Linked DNA regions of Neurospora crassa OR74A. The protein of the gene in region 2 purifies or fractionates together with the protein of the main gene of each other region. This does not show direct contact. Links are inferred from orthologs where the notes say so. Each region holds a gene or a part of one and is shown on either strand. Other genes may lie near its edges.

Region 1 (4,788 bases), on a different chromosome or scaffold from region 2:
CCAGATCGGAAAGTGGGGTTTTATCTAGTTGATCATCGGGGAAGGACTCCAATGGAGGGAGGTCGTCGATGTCTCGAGGTACGGTATGCCTGCCGATATCAAGCAAGTCCCGATCATTGATTCTCTTGACTCGACGAACGGGTGGAGCTTTTTCAATGAGAAGGAGAAATGCGAGTATGATCGGATTAGGTTCGTATGTACCGTAGGTTTGTTGTCAGGTTTTCGTTCTTGGGCTGAGCTGCGGCTTGTTTCTGAAAGGGCTTCGTGGTCAGCAGCGGGGCTGGTCTTTTAAGTATTCGCCCAAGTACGTGAAGGAACTAGTGTAGTAGCATTGCCCCAGAGAAAAGAAAAAAGAGGAAAAGGAAAAAAAGGAACGAGGGGAAAGAGGCGACGAGGCGTCCAAGAGACAGTGCCTTTTCCAAGAGAGACAATCGAAAAAGGGTCCCCGATGCCGTCCGCGGTTTTCACACCTTGTTCCATTCCAAGGTTGCTGCCCTGGAACTTGGGCAAACTGTGGCATAAACTGTCATAAGTCCTTCATTTGATACTGTGTTGTGTCAGTATCCATCCCAAGGTATACTGGAGATAATATCCAATGCAGCCGGCACGTCTAAGCCGCGCTCTTCTGCACACCGTACGGTACAATCTACATCTCAATCGTAGCCCTCTGGGTCTTGCATCATCCAAGAATATGGTCTGGGTTCTAAAGCCGGGTTCCAGCCATGACGGAATGGCCGATTCCCCCCAGATCTCCATATAGTCTCCGGGGTACCTATCATCCATTTCTCTCAACTCGCGAATGGCCAGGGCAAAGGCCAATCGAGTCTCAATGGGACTTCTAGGTCAGATTCGATATAAGCACTGCAGATATCGGCATCCCATGTCGTGTAACCACTTGCTAGAGGTGACATTGGAGTCCCGAACTGGTTCACCGCAATGGCTCAGTTGAGCAGATATGTATGAGGTTCAGTTTGCAACAAGAGGGGAAAAGAGAAAAGAACAAAGGTCTCGGAAGATTGGTTTGATGCCGCACCATAGAGCTACCGGGACAAAGTGTTTGCAACTGAACCAGCAGGAAGTTCTTCTTGTTAGTTGTTTGCCTCTATACCCAAGATTTCCTGGTGGGCTGATTCGCGCTCTACGTGTTGAACTAGAAATCTTAACTGCAGGCAGTATACTGTAGTATGCAAGAAATGGGAAGCCATCTGCAACTGTCAGTGATGGTTCGGACGAACTGCAATGCCTGAACAGTGCAGCGTTGATCTTCCAATATGTACAGACCAGACATCAATGACGATGCCAAACAGAAAGACACACCAAGAGCACAATCACAGCTCAGCGGCGGGGGACATACCAAAGTGGGTCCCAGAGCTTTTTGCCAAGATCTGCGACATGGCCCGTGCTCTTTCTTGCCGCCCCTGGCTCGGCCAGGCCAAGTGCAGTGGGCGGAGGAAGCCGAATTGGCACGTCGTCTCGCTGCCGCCTTGGGTTGGGGGCCCGTCACTCGGCAGCTGCAGTTGACGGAACAAACGACAAGATCACGAGCTGTCACGACTGACGGACCAAAAGCTACTACCTAGAGCTATCAACCACCGCAGCGCCCAACATCTTGCCGCCGCCAAACCGACGATTTCGATTCTCCTCCGTGCGCATAATACCAAACAACAAAACCAAGCGCAATCATCATCACCACGACGTGATTAAAAGTACGCCCGACGAGTTTGCCCGCCTTTCGAACAATTCGTCGATACAATCCATCCGTCTAGCGTCATCAGCTTCAGTCCAGCTGGTCCCATCCCTCTATACCTACACACACAAATCACAACATTCACAATGGCCTCAACACAACCCAAGAACGACGCCAAGTCGACCGAGCCCAAGCCCGAGCAGCCCGTTACCGAGAAGAAGACGGCCGTGTTGGAGGAGGACGACGAGTTTGAGGACTTCCCCGTCGATGGTTAGTCTGCCCGCCATGGCTAAGAAGCACCTTTTGCTGGACGCCGCATCGCATTTCAAACACCACCGCATCACGACCTGCTTCCATATATCATATCATTCAACAACCTCTCTGCCTATACCCTTCATCATTGGCACGGACACTACATACCAAACTTCCTTCAACTTGCGCAACTGCGGAGGCTAGCTCCCCCAGCTGTTGTACCGCACATGTAACTAACAAAATAACCAAAATAGACTGGGAAGCCGAAGACACAGAAGCCGCCAAGGGCAACAACGAGGCCAAGCACCTATGGGAGGAGTCCTGGGACGACGACGACACGAGCGACGACTTTTCCGCCCAGCTAAAGTACGTTTTTTTTGTTTTTTTTTTCCTTTTCTTTTCGTACTCCTTCCTTCCTTCTTCCTTCCCTTTTTACCTGCGTCCCTCCCTCCCTTTCCCTCTCCCTCCTCCTCCTACTCCTTTACTATGAACTTCCACTTCACGTAATTAGCTAGCTTTGCGCTAGGAGTTGGGATTGAAAATCCTAGACCCGGGTTGGCGCGTATTGCGCTGGGCCAGTCAGTCAGGCGTTAAAATGAATCACACCATTTTGGAACTTTATGGAGGAAACAAAAAGCAAAGCCGTATAAAGCGACAGTTGCTGACTTGTCTTTTTCAAACCATTAGGGAGGAGCTCAAGAAGGTTGAGGCTGCCAAGAAGCGGTAATCGGAGGACTTTCGAAGCTTGTACAAAGTATGATATGAGGGGAGGACAGGCGCATCAATACAATGTTGACCAAAGTTTCAGTCCGGGATCTTGCGGTGACATTGCTGTGCGAGGCTTCGATATGCGAGTGAAAGGTGAAGGAGACCCTCCGACTATAAAGAGACAATATCCGGAGACGTACCGACTTGTGTAGTCATTGACACAAGTCATTGGGTATCAACACGGGATTGAGATGATCTGCATAGACTTCGTCTCGAACTTGGTGCATAAACTCGAATAATATCTTGGGATGAACCAGATTCGTCAAGCTTATCCGCACATCACACTTCGAATCATAAAAACTGGACTTTAACTGTTTTGTTCTATTTATCGACTTTGGACTGAGTGCCTATCATAGACTGGCCCTGCTAATCCTTCCAAGGACCCTTTATCATCATATGTTTTTTTGATCCATCAGTCATGATCTCTCATTCAATATCCGAGAGGTTTCATAACATCATTATATCTCCTTCCCAACTCCTTTGAAAGCCAAGGACAAACTTACTGACGCTCGCTAAGAGCAACAACACCAGGGAGAGCCTTGCCCTCAAGGAGCTCAAGAGAAGCACCACCGCCAGTGGAGACGTGGCTGAGCTTGTCCTCAACGCCGTACTTGGCAGCGACGGTAGCGGTGTCACCACCGCCAATGATGACGGTGCGGCCTTCCTCGGCAGCCTTGACGCAAGCGTCGAGGGTGGCCTTGGTGCCCTTGGCGAACTTGTCGAACTCGAAGACACCGGCGGGGCCGTTCCAGAGGATGGTCTGGGACTCGTTGATGGCCTGGGTGAAGAGCTTGACCGACTCCTCGCCGCAGTCGAGACCCATCCAGCCGTCGGGAATGCCGTCCTTGTCTGTGGCGTAGCCAGTGTTGGCGTCCTTGTCGAACTTGTCGGCAATGGTGAAGTCGACGGGGAGCACGAGCTTGACGTTGTTCTTCTCGGCCTTCTTGACAAGGTCAGGGACAATCTTGGCGCCGGCCTCATCGAAGAGCGAGTTGCCGATGGGCATGTTCTGGAGGGTCTTCTTGAAGGTGAAGGCCATACCACCGCAGACGATGAGGGTGTTGACCTTGTCGAGCAGGTTGTCGATCAGCTGGATCTTGTCGGAAACCTTGGCACCGCCGAGGATGGAGAGGAAGGGGCGCTGGGGCGACTCGAGAACCTTGGCAAAGTACTGGAGCTCCTTCTTCATGAGGAAACCGGCGGCCTTGACGGGGAGGTCAATGCCGACCATGGAGGAGTGGGCGCGGTGGGCAGTGCCGAAAGCATCGTCTGTGGAATATGGTGTTAGCTACTGTGCCCAATCTTGAAGCCGAGGGGACTGGAAAACTCACTGATGTACACATCACCGAGCTTGGTGAGGTTCTTGCGGAACTCCTCAACCTTGGCCTTGTCGGCCTTGACCTTGTTGCCCTCGGCATCGGTGCCCTTGCCCTCCTCCTCAATGTGGAAGCGGAGGTTCTCAAGGAGAATAACTTCACCGTTGTCGGCCTTGTTGACGATCTCCTCAACCTCGGGACCAACGCAGTCGGGGGCGAAGGTGACCTTCTTGCCGAGGAGCTTCTCGAGCTCAGGAACAACGGGCTTCAGGGAGTACTTGGGGTTGGGCTTGCCGTCGGGACGGCCAAGGTGAGACATGAGGACAACGGCCTTGGCGCCATGGTCGAGCGCATACTTGATGGTGGGAATGGCACCGGCGATGCGCTGGGGGTTGGTGACCTTCTTCTCGGCGTCAAGGGGGACGTTGAAGTCGACCTAGAGAAGGGTGGCATGTTAGAACTTTTGTCTGGTCACCCACCCATCCACCTATATGAATCACACAGCGACATCAGGAGCTAGCTAGCGCTAGAAGAAACTTACACGGATGAGGACGCGCTTGCCCTTGAGGTCGACGTCCTCGATGGAGAGCTTGTTGGAGAGAGACATGATGGCGGTTTGTATGTGACTAGGTATTACGAATTGGAGAGACGATGGGAAGGAAGATCAAGAGAGAGAAAGGAACAAACACAAGACTACGAGAGGATGTCTTATCAACAGAATGAAGGCGAAGGGTGAGAATCAGGTGGATATGCGACAACACGCGA
Region 2 (6,299 bases):
GGCATAAACTACCGGGGCCCTAGTACCTCTATCCGTCTTTCTTCGTTCGCAGGTGCCCTCCAGCTCCATATGATTTCCTTTGGGTACTCTGATTACGACGACACGGCTTGCCCTAGATCGCTAGCTGAATTTCCAAGCAACCGACAGAGGTGGAAGTCATCTTTCAGGAGCCCACTTTTTGCGGCTGTGGCACCCTTCTCCACGGGCACAAGGAGGACCATCCAGGCCGCTAAAAATGTGGAAAACGAATACCATTCGGCCGCCGGCCGGATTCCTGCTATTCTTAGCAACCCATGAAATCTTTGCTCCCAGAATGCCGGGTCATTCATATGCTGGATGATGGAAGGTGTCCCCAAAGAGAACACCATGTCACAAGAGTTAGCTAGGTTGATGGAATTCGTCCATACCTCTCTTTCTAGAAAGATCATCAGCCAGTCAGCCACAAACCCAAAGGAAAATACGAACAACGTCCGCGGTCCAGTTTCCCTTTTTCGATCTTTGTGCAATCTTACAATACGGTGGCGCCTTGTTCAAACCCGGCAAGCTCTCACTCTATCTTTCACATGGCAATAATGCTACACACTACTCTACCGCCATGAGCATGATAATGTTAGCGTGACCACCATTCATCCTAGCCGGATATCTATACTATTGTATCGACCAGCCGCTCCACAAACCAATGCGACTAGAGTTCTATCTGCCATGCTACCTCGTATCGTGTTGATCCGCTCTTCGGCGGCGGCGCCCGCCCAGGAACAGGAACAGACACTACTACCATTCACAGAGAGAGATGAATGGCACCCTACCACGCCTACTTACTACTTTTACACTAGCCACCCAGCCATCCCAGCCACTGAGCCGCATAACACTATCTGCTCCATCGCATCACCACAAGAGGTAAAGTGCACATTGGCAAGTTATAAGCCAATTCACCTACGATTTTCTTTTACACATATTATCGTTTGTCAGTGTATGTACACAACACAGCAGGTAAGCAAGCGGGAAAGATATTTTGGGTTGATCCACCTTCACAAGCTCACAAGGCAATCAGGAACCGGATGGAACCATGGAAACATGCGGAGAAGTGAGTGGCACAGAACTAAGTCACTTACAGACCGGACAATAACCGCGGCCGGAAAACGTGATGCCGGAGACTTCCTCCTTGTCTTTGCTAGGAGGTCTAGACCGACAAAATTCCGTCCGTGTTTGACCCGAAACCGAGCTGATCAACACTTGCATGTCCATACATGCACGTGGAACATGTACAAAAGAAGGAAGGCAAGCGTATTCAACCTCGTTGCCTGAGGGGCAAAGACAATCGGACAATCTTCCCTCTGGTTTTCATGATGAGGCGCGGGAAAAAAAAAAAACACTAAACATGGTTGATTGGCAGGGTTGCACAAACCGGAACCATCTTGCCATCATGATCCATCCATCCGTACGTCCATCCACCTAGACATCTGCTCATCCATCCTTCTCAACAGTAAGGCATAACAAAGCGGGTGCCGTAGACCAGCAGCCGGGAAGCTGCATGGCGGTGGTGAAAGCGGTGCTACCTACTTTACTAATGTTGTGGGAGGAAACAACCGTGGCTCCGGGGGGGGGGGGGGGGGGGTCACTCCCGTCCATACTGAGTTTTTGTGTTGCTTACCTCCTTGTGACAAGGTTAGACAGCTACCACCACGTGGAAGATATGGTCATCTGAAGCGGAGATGATTTCTACGGTAATTTTGTTTACCCAATTCCAGCCATTCGATTGAGGATGGTCCTGAAGAACTAAGATAGGATGCGAATTTCAAGGACATGTCATCGTTACTGCCCAAAATTAAGAACCGTCAAGCTTCACCCTAGGGTTGAAGGAAGGGAACGATGCCATAAGCCATCAAATAGCCATTCTGACGCCCTTCCTGCGGGCATCGTGGTAGTCGCTTGTGTACAAATTACAGCTGAAAGCTCGCCTATCATCATCTTCCCCACCCGCATCTAGGTAGGGCGCAAAGTCTGCCTTGTCCGTGTCTAAGATGCTTCATCACTGTTGTTTGCTCAACTGCTACCACCTCCTCCCCCACAACTCCAACCACCAACTACTCCAGTCTTATTATAGCTTCTGGTATTCGAGCTTGCCCTCAAGCTTCTTGGCCTCGGCAACCTTGCGCACCGCCTTGTTGAAGTCGTCTTGGTTGATCGCATCGCGGTAGTCCTTGATCGCAAACAGACCACTATGTAAAATAGAAGAGTTAGCTGGGTGCTGCATGGTCGGCATTTTTTTAAAAGCAGGAAATTGTCAACTTACGCTTCAGTAACCACATTGCGCAAATCAGCACCGTTCAAGCCATCGCTCATTTTCACAACACTCTCGTAGTCGATATCGCCCTCAATAACCACACCAGAGGCGTGAATCTTCAGAATCTCCAGACGACCGACCTCATTCGGCAGAGGAATCTCAATCTTGCGATCTAGACGGCCGGCACGCAGCAAAGCAGGGTCGAGGGTATCGGGGCGGTTCGTCGCCATGATGATCTTGGTCTTGCCGAGATAGTCGAAACCGTCGAGCTGGTTGAGGAGCTCCATAAGTGTACGCTGGATTTCTCTGTCGGCAGATGTACCCTCGCTGAAACGCCTGCCACCGATGGCATCGATCTCGTCCATGAAGATGATGCAGGGCTCGTGTTCCTTGGCGTAGCCGAACATTTCGCGGATTAAACGGGCGGATTCACCGATGTACTTGTCGACGATGGCGGAGGAGACGACTACGAACGCGCAGTATTAGTGACATGTGTTCGAGTATTGGCGCCGTCAAGATGCAAGACAAAGAGGGTGCGAGCTTACCCTTCAAAAAGTTGGTCTCCAAGCTGCTCGCGACAGCCCTGGCTAGTAATGTCTTTCCGGTACCTGGAGGGCCATAGAGCAAGACACCCTTGGGGGGCTTGATTCCGACTCGCAAGAACAGCTCTGGGTTCTTGAGGGGCAGCTCAATAACCTCTCTGAGCTCACGAATCTGATCGTTGAGACCGCCGATACCCCCGAAGCTGACTTGGCCAGGATCCTCGAGCGACATGTTGTATACTAGCGGGTCGACCTCGCGGGGGAGCATGCGCATGATGGTGAGAGTTGTCATATCGAGCGCCACACGTGTTCCCTGCTTGAGCTTCGCCTTGTCGACCTTTGATCGGCAGCCGACGACGTATCTGGGGCCGGAGGAGGCCTTGACAATAACTGTGGCATAATAAGTTCGTAATGGTCTCCAGAGAATGGATAGGGGATGCAAGACGTACACCTCTCATCGTCCAGTTGCTTCAGGACCTCGCCGATGATCTGGCCGACACTTTGCAACGCCTTGATGTTCTCTTCTGTTTGGTCGTACTCCTTCTGTAGGCCCTTGAGCTCCAGACGCAAGTTCTTAAGCTTTGCTTCCCACTCTCGCGACTCGATCAGTTTCGCCTTGAACGAAGCCAAGGCATGTTGGCGCTCCTGGTCCGCCATTATTGTGGAGATATTGCAGCGACTGGCGGTTTGTCTAGTTGAAGGAAAGGTGACGTCAGGCTGTCTTGAGGCGTCAGCGTGATTGACTGTTTCTTGGGTTTGTGAATAGACCGGTAAGCGCGCAGGTCGAAGGGCTCGGGTATGGTAGACGAAATGGTTGTTTGATGGATGAACTGTTCCGGATTGAGATGTTGTGTTGATGCAACTGAACAAGTCGGCAGGCGGGCAATGGGCTGGCGTTGACGCACGGACAAAGGTACGTAGCTATCGATGGAGCTTACCTCAAGCTCTCGTTGCCTTGGGCGGCGGGTGGGTCCAGTGTATTGTCGCATTCTTGCCCCAGCTGAGGTCGAGTCGGGTAGGTGTGAATGCAGGCAGTTACACAGTAGAAACCCCTGCTTTTGCTAACCCCCACTTTTGCTAAAACCCCCCCTTTTGCTAAAGATTTCAGTTGCCCGCATTCCCTCTGGTAGTACACATCACCCCTGGAAAGTTCGTTAGTTCGGTACTTATAGGGGATTTTGATAGGGGAATGATAAGGGGGGTGATAGGGAATAAAACTAATAGAATTGCATATATGGACCCTATAGATTTTGAATAGGGAGAAAGGAGTTACGGAGAATTACTGTATTTGCTATACTAAAACTAGGGTAATCCGAGTACCTTTTTATAGCCGATACTTCCCCTAGTATTAGGTATGGCTTCTATTCGCAGTAATAACCGCCTGTATTCTTCTAGGCATTAAATATACTAACCGTTAAAGGTAATCGACTGGAATAGCTTCCTAAGCTTCCTCGATTGTAGATTTGAGACTCAATCTAGTTGGTTTAATTAGGTATTTACACTCAATCCAATTTTTTATCCAATTCCAGACGTTTTTAATAGAATTAAAATCGGGAGAGTAAGGGGGCCAAGGGATAACCTTTGCGGGATCGAAAATTTGAGCTATAAATACCTTTATTGCTCGTAAACTATAAGAAGGAGTATTATTCTGTATAATATAGAAGGACGAATTTTGTAACTAAAATTGTTGTAAAAGAGGGAAAATCCGTTCCTAGTAGGATTTACTAGTAATTGTACCCCACTCTTTATAGTTCTAAAAGACAAATATACTCTTTATCTTGCCCGTAAAGCAAACCTAAAATATTTATCCCCGAAGTTTCGATTTAATTTTAGTAAAGTTGTTAATATTTTTATTTTTAAAGAGGGTAACGAAACGACGGCTTTAATTAATACTATTTACTTACGTTTTATTAAACTAAATCTAGGACTCCTATTTAAATAGGGTAAAGTTAGCGAATTGTAAAGCGAATTCGAAACGAAGGCGGCGGGTTCTTTTACTAAGGGGGAGGCGCGTAGATTATTCTACGTAGCAGATACTTTGCACTTCTATCGCTATTTAAATAGCATATTCGCTATATTAATTAAATTCAGGGATACGCTTCTAGAGTTTGTACTACGATAGGAACCTCTTTAATTTTATAGGTATATTTATATAGTGGAAGAGAATTTTAAGGGTGGACAGCGGAATAATATACAGTCTACCCCCTACTTTACAGTATTAGGGGATTATTTTATATAAGTAAATATATTATATTTATCTATTTAGTTATTAGAATTTAAATACTAATAATTTTATTTCTAAAATTATATTTACCTTATAGTAAAATTAAAGCAATTAGTAATCTCCTTATAATCTATTTTAGTATATATACGAAGTACTTTATAGATAATATGCTCCTTATATATAGTGGGCGCTAACTTTCACTTTTTAAGTAACAGTTAAGAAGTAAAAGATAATTCAGTAGGGTTAATTAATAATAAGAGGGTAGTATTAGCGTTGGGCGAGGGTAACAATAGGGGGTCTTGCGTATTATTATTATTATTATTATTATTATTATAAGCATTGCGGATTTATTAGGGTTAAGGCGGAGTAGGACTTTTAAATTTAGGTAAGGATAATTGTAATTAAGGTACTAATAATAATAGTTAGTAATAATTAATATATAGTAATAATTTAGAAGGTAAATATATTAATTAAGCGCGTTAATAATAGCGGAGCGGCGTAGCAGGGTAAAAAGGAGGAGCTTATAGCATTACTAATTACGTAAGTTCCTTTCCTTAGTAGCGTACTTATTATAATTATAGTCTATATTACCCGTATAAATAAAATTCTCTTTATTATTAGTAATAGGATTGCTATTATCTTTTTAATATTGAATTTCCTCTTATTAAAGCAATTGAAGTTAAAGGTTAATAATCTATAAGAGTTAATAAAGTATTAAGATAAAAAAGGGTTAGTAAGGGTAAAAGAGAGGGTTGTATATAAAAGAGAGTAAAAGAATAGATTTAAAAACGGAAGGGCGGAAGAGGATTATATATAACTAACTAGTTAATTACTAGTTAATTACTAGTGTTTGTTCGTACACGGACCAAATATTAGTATATGCGTTGAGCAAACATCCGCTTTAGAGTTTTAGATTTCGTTGATTCCAATTGAAATTTAGTATTTATACCGCTTTTTAAATCTATTTAAGTAATTTGGGTAATTTGTGTAATTTTGGTCAAAATTGTAATTTCAAGAAAAATTATTAATTTACTAATTATTTTAACAAGTAATCCTAAAATCTAATTAGTTGAATGCGCTAGAGTACCCTATAAGTACGCTATAACTTTCCTATTATAGAAGGCAATAGGGTAGTAGTTCTAGTAATTCTAATAATTCTAGGCTAGTATTTAGAGGGTTTGTGTGCGTGTGTTCTGTTAATTCGCTCTCACTTTGAGGTTAGGCAATTTCAGCCAATTAGAAGCCGTAG
Region 3 (5,145 bases), on a different chromosome or scaffold from region 2:
CCCCTGCCGCCATGACCGCCACGAGCCACCATACTTCGATACCGATCGCGCGCCTGGTCGATAGAGACATCTGCTGGGTCCAGCCCAACATAGAGCTCTACGGGCTGTGGCGCCTGCTGCCATTTGCCCAAATCACCGCCCTTGCCGCATCCAATGTCGAGCACCAACAGCTGATTGTTCGAACTGATTCCCCGCTCACGAGCGCCAGGCGAGTGGTCTTCGTCAGGAGAAAACTTCTGGATGATACAGCTCTTGACCCAGTTGTTGAAGGAGCGGAGACCTTTGATGCGACTGTCCGTCTTACGCCAGTCACGGCCACGCTCGGGCACAGCATTGTAATGGGCACGTACGACGTCATTGACCGCGTTGCGGCGCTCAGCTTCGGCGGCCGCTTCTGCCTCCCGCTGAGCCTGGCGCTCGCGCTCCATCTGACGTTGACGAATCTGTTCGCGCTCGGCTTCCGTGATGCGGGCACGTTGGCCAGGCCGCTTCTGCTTTCTAGGCTCGCCGCTGGTAGTGGGGGTTTGTGTTCTCTTGGCCGGAGCTAACTTGCGGGCATCAAACGGCTGTGGGAGGACATCGTTGTCGTCCTCATCTTCGTCATGCCTCGCAGACTTGTATCGACGGTCTTCGTTGCGGCCATTGCGGTCGTCGTCGTAGGGCGATTCTGAGCGTTGCCTCTTGCGAGTGGACCTATAACTGGTGTAACCATCGTAGCCTGACATTTCTGGAAAAAACTGTTGGTGTGGTCTCGCAAGGAGACTTGATCATCGGCAAGAACAACTATGGCAAGCGTACAGGCTTCGTGTAACAGCAGAATAACTGATGCGACGGTGAGTGGTGTGAGTTGTGATTTTGACTGTTGATATCGATTGATGCGAGTACAGACACAGGCAAATCCTGAAAGTGAATTCTGGGACTCGAAATTCGGTATGTCGAAGTTGAAAGCTCTTGTTATTGTTGTTGTTGTTGTTGTTGTCGAGGAGAGAAAGCAATTGGAAAGGAAGTCGGGATGCAAGTGTTTTGAGGATGCAAGCATGGGTCGGTCGGTGTTTGAGCCGATGAAGTGTGCCTGCCCGGGCACTGTTCCAGCGGCTCCACTTGCAGGCCTGGCCCGCCTTCCAAGCTCTGTCTCCACTTTCCAGTGCTGACGCGCGAGCTCTGGGGGCCTTGGTCACTCTCCAGTGAGGTCAGCTACTCTATCGACCTTCCGAACCATTCAAGGAGCACCACAACTAAACCACAGACATCACCACCACCCAGCCTCACCTCGACCCGGCATCTTTGGTAGAATCACAGCGCCAGGCCAAGTCACACATTGCGATCCAGTTTCCAAGAGCTTTCAACACCGCGAAACTTCCCATCTTAAGCCGGCATCCACCTCCATCAGCTGCTTGCCGATTTCCAGCGGGGTGCTTCTACCAGACGACGGACACTGACCAGCACCGGACCGTCTTCCATTTGCATCCTCCTCTCCCATCTCCCTCCTTGGCTCGTAAGCTAGCACCCATCACAACTACAAAATGGGCTCCGATCCTCAATACGCGAAATGGCCTCTGCTGCCCCTCGCCCAGCATGTCTTCACCCTCACAAACCCCTACGCCGCCCGCCCTGCCCAACAAGCGGCCGTTAAGAACCTTCAAGATGCCATCACCGAGCACAAGATGGCGCCCTTTTACCGATACCTCGCGCACCCTACCGAGGGTGTCCTTAACTCTGTTGGGGAAGGCGGCTCCAACACTGCCGGTGCCGGAAGGTTGGGTAGGAAGAGCAGCATCGCCGCCGGCATGATCGCGACCCACAAACCCACCACAAGCTTAAGCCTACCGTGGGATGAGAACCTGTACCAGCAGCTGCAGGCCGAGAACGAGAAGGAGCTTGAGGAGTTCCAAAAAGAGGAAGATGAGGCTGTCGAGAAGGCGGGAGACACAGAGATCCAGGCTGCCAAGGGAAAGAGGGCCGAGTTCTGGGCCCGAGTTGGCGATAAGGTTGGTCACTACAAGTTCACTTAGCTACCCATCCACTCCCACCAACCGACATATACTAAGCATACACTCTTCCTATTCAGGAAAAAGCCATCGCCGCGCACCAAGATCTGCTCGAGAAGACGAGCATTCTAGGTACCAAGATCGATCTCGTCCTCGCCTTAATCCGCCTCGGCCTCTTCTTTGGCGACAAGCAGCTAGTCCAGAAGACTGTCGAGCGCGCCAAGTCGCTTGTCGAATCGGGCGGCGACTGGGACCGTCGCAACCGCCTCAAGGCCTACGAGGGTCTGCACTTGCTCACCGTGCGCAACTACAGCGGCGCCGCCCCCTTGCTCCTCGACAGTCTGTCCACCTTTACCTCGTACGAACTCTGCACCTACAGCAACCTGGTGGTCTACGCCGTGCTCGCCGGTTCCGTCTCGCTCAAGCGCGTCGACTTCAAGTCCAAGGTCGTGGACGCCCCCGAGATCAAGGCGATTCTTGGCGACGGAGAGGACAAGCTGCTCGCACTGACCGGCGCCATCTCGGCCGGCCCGGGAGCCGACGCCTCGATGCAGGACGCCGATAACGCCCCCGTGGCGGCCCGGACGGCTGTAGTTAACCTGACCACGCTCGGCAGCAGCACGGAACAGCCTGAGGCGGAGATGGCGGTCGACTTTGACCCGCTCGCGCAGCTGGTTAGCAGCCTGTACAACGGCCGGTACAAGCTCTTCTTCCAGGCGCTGGCCCTGGTGGAGGAGCAATTCCTCACCCAGGACCGCTACCTGCACGAGCATAAGAACTGGTTCATCCGCGAGATGCGCCTGCGCGCGTACCAGCAACTGCTGCAGAGCTATCGCGTTGTGGGACTGGATAGCATGGCCAACGACTTTGGTGTTACCGTGGATTTCTTGGATCGGTTGGTTTTCCCCTTGTTTTTGTTCTACCCCTCTTCCCCCCGACACAAGTTCTATATATACTGATCGTACATCACAAAAACAGTGACCTAGCAAAGTTCATCGCCGCCGGCCGTATTCCCTGCACCATCGACCGCGTCAATGGCAAGGGTGTTATCGAGACCAACCGGCCCGACGACAAGAACAAGCAGTATCAGGACGTGGTTCGCCAGGGTGACCAGCTGATTACCAAGCTGCAGAAGTACGGACAGGCTGTTCGGTTGAGGGGAAGCGAAAGGGCGTAGTAGAGAACCAACTTGAAGAGAGTTAGAAGCTAGCAGTGAAACAAGGGGAAGGTCAATGATGTATAAGCGAGCTGTGCTATCGTTAGCGATTACCTTGGGAAGAAGGGAAGGGGATATGAATGATCAAGGGCATGGATTGAGTGGATGGATGAAAGGCGGAGAGAAATCAGAAGAGAATAGAGCCTAAAGCAACCTATCACATTAAATTGTCGTTAGGGCCTAACTCGTCTCTAGTAAGGACAAATGACACAAAACGACTTGCTCCTCATTGTCACGGATATTGCATCATGTGTTCATAAGACTCCGTTTCTTCTTGTCCAGGCTTTTTTACTTTTGTATTCGTATGTCCCTCGTATCCTGGATAAGGCTACGTACATACGTGCAATGCAAAAGGCTAGCAAAAAGTACAAACGCTGAGGTATCATCAAAGATCCCATAACCAACCAACCAACCAACCAAACCAAACCAAAAGCCGAACCAAATCGCTCTTTTTTTGTCCTTCATACTCCGAGTTCTGCTTGGTAAACAAGATTTCGCTCGCTTTTTCCGTACCATGTTTCCCCTCAACTTCATTATCCGGTCCCGGCGCTGGGATGGGCAACATATCTATCCCTAAGGTAGATGAGCGGACAGGGCAGGTGACATTCTACAAGGGAGAGAAGGGATGATATCTCCAGGGTCACACCCTGTTCTTCCGCGGCAGCTTTGATACTTGAGGGGCTGCAGAACCGATGAACGAGCGCCCCCCTTGTGCGCAGCGTCATAGTCAGACCATCCATCCATCTCGAGGACACTCGACACCCACCCATCACCACCGTGACGAACCGCAAAGAGTCCTTTCATCAAGTACCGTTTTCGAATCAAAATACACTTTGACAGTGGTGTGAGCCGTTCAACGATATTGATCCATGAACTCCTTGTGGAACTTGACAATGCTGCCAACCCACTCGGTACCAGGAGCAAGGAAGGTAGTGCGGAAGTGCAAGCTACCCTCCTTCTGACCGAACCCAGAACCAGGAACAACGCAGACGCCGGTAGCCTCGAGGAGCTTCATGCAGTAGAACTCGTCGGGGGTACGGCCCTCCTTGGCGGCGGCCTCGGCGGCCTTGGGGGGCAAGTTGATGGTAGGGAAGAGGTACATGGCACCCTGGGGAGCACCGCACTCGACGCCCTCCATCTGCTCAAACGCCTTGTGGAGAGCGTTGGCGCGCTCCCTCATGCCCTCGTAGATGCCGCGGTACTCCTTCTCGTAGAGCTCGTAGGAGGGCTCGCCGGGCTTGGGCGGATTGACCATCAGCTCGACCAGGCACTGGCCAATGACAGGCGCGCAGAGCATGATGCTGACGAACTTGTAGATTTCAGCCTGGACTTCGGGATCAAAGTTGACCAGCTCAAAGTAGCCACCGCGGTGGCCGCACTCGCCCACCATGCCCTTGGAAATGGAGTGGAGGGAAGCCAGCTCGACGCAGTCGTACTTGCCGTCGGGGTTCTCCTTCTGCAACTGGCGGAGCACGCGCTTGAACGAGATGAACTCGCCGATGAAGACGTTGGTCTGGTAGACTTCGTCGGCGAGGACGACAAGGCGCTCCTGGCGCGCGAACTCGAGGACGGCGCGGATGTCCTCCTCGGAGAGGGAGGCGCCGGTGGGGTTGCCGGGGTTGATGATGACGATGGCGCGAGTGTCGACGCCGGCGTCCTTGGCCTTTTGGTACGACTCCTTGATGGTGTTGATGTCGGTGCCCCAGTTCTTGGACTCATCGAGGAGGTAGGGAACGCAGGTGGCGTTCAGGATGGAGAGCGAGGCGGTGTAGAGAGGGTACTGGGGGATGGGAACCAGGATGCCGCTCTTCTCATCGGCGCAGATGATGTGCAGGAGGGTGTTGACTCCCGAAGAAGCACCGGCAGAGAGGTAGATGTCTTGCCAGTTGGCAGGGAAGCCATCGCGCCCTAGGAAGCGAAAAAAAGAAAGGGATGTTAGCA

Evidence for each region.
Region 1: the proteins of rpt-4 (region 2) and NCU07913 purify together in Saccharomyces cerevisiae (affinity purification with mass spectrometry; 5 studies listed by BioGRID, with this or other methods). This does not show direct contact. The link is inferred for Neurospora crassa OR74A from reciprocal best matches to the Saccharomyces cerevisiae genes RPT4 and SEM1.
Region 3: the proteins of rpt-4 (region 2) and rpn-7 purify together in Saccharomyces cerevisiae (affinity purification with mass spectrometry; 3 studies listed by BioGRID, with this or other methods). This does not show direct contact. The link is inferred for Neurospora crassa OR74A from reciprocal best matches to the Saccharomyces cerevisiae genes RPT4 and RPN7.

Annotation. Positions count from the first base shown.
Region 1 is NC_026504.1:1,370,693-1,375,480, reverse strand, and holds NCU07913 (hypothetical protein), read left to right. Parts: upstream 1-1,474; 5' UTR 1,475-1,833; coding exon 1,834-1,957; intron 1,958-2,193; coding exon 2,194-2,305; intron 2,306-2,626; coding exon 2,627-2,666; 3' UTR 2,667-3,110; downstream 3,111-4,788. Other genes in the region: NCU07912 (hypothetical protein), read left to right, coding at 29-292; pgk (phosphoglycerate kinase), read right to left, coding at 3,207-3,976, 4,039-4,459, 4,565-4,630. UniProt on the Saccharomyces cerevisiae protein: Versatile protein that might stabilize multiple protein complexes involved in diverse pathways. Subunit of the 26S proteasome which plays a role in ubiquitin-dependent proteolysis.
Region 2 is NC_026501.1:6,197,630-6,203,928, reverse strand, and holds rpt-4 (proteasome 26S subunit), read right to left. Parts: upstream 3,729-6,299; 5' UTR 3,484-3,728; coding exon 3,276-3,483; intron 3,217-3,275; coding exon 2,830-3,216; intron 2,751-2,829; coding exon 2,294-2,750; intron 2,220-2,293; coding exon 2,099-2,219; 3' UTR 1,708-2,098; downstream 1-1,707. UniProt on the Saccharomyces cerevisiae protein: The 26S proteasome is involved in the ATP-dependent degradation of ubiquitinated proteins. The regulatory (or ATPase) complex confers ATP dependency and substrate specificity to the 26S complex.
Region 3 is NC_026506.1:2,285,848-2,290,992, forward strand, and holds rpn-7 (proteasome regulatory particle), read left to right. Parts: upstream 1-1,167; 5' UTR 1,168-1,523; coding exon 1,524-1,988; intron 1,989-2,068; coding exon 2,069-2,883; intron 2,884-2,966; coding exon 2,967-3,165; 3' UTR 3,166-3,482; downstream 3,483-5,145. Other genes in the region: NCU03971 (mRNA cap guanine-N7 methyltransferase), read right to left, coding at 1-725; ala (alanine aminotransferase), read right to left, coding at 4,058-5,112. UniProt on the Saccharomyces cerevisiae protein: Component of the 19S cap proteasome complex which acts as a regulatory subunit of the 26S proteasome, involved in the ATP-dependent degradation of ubiquitinated proteins.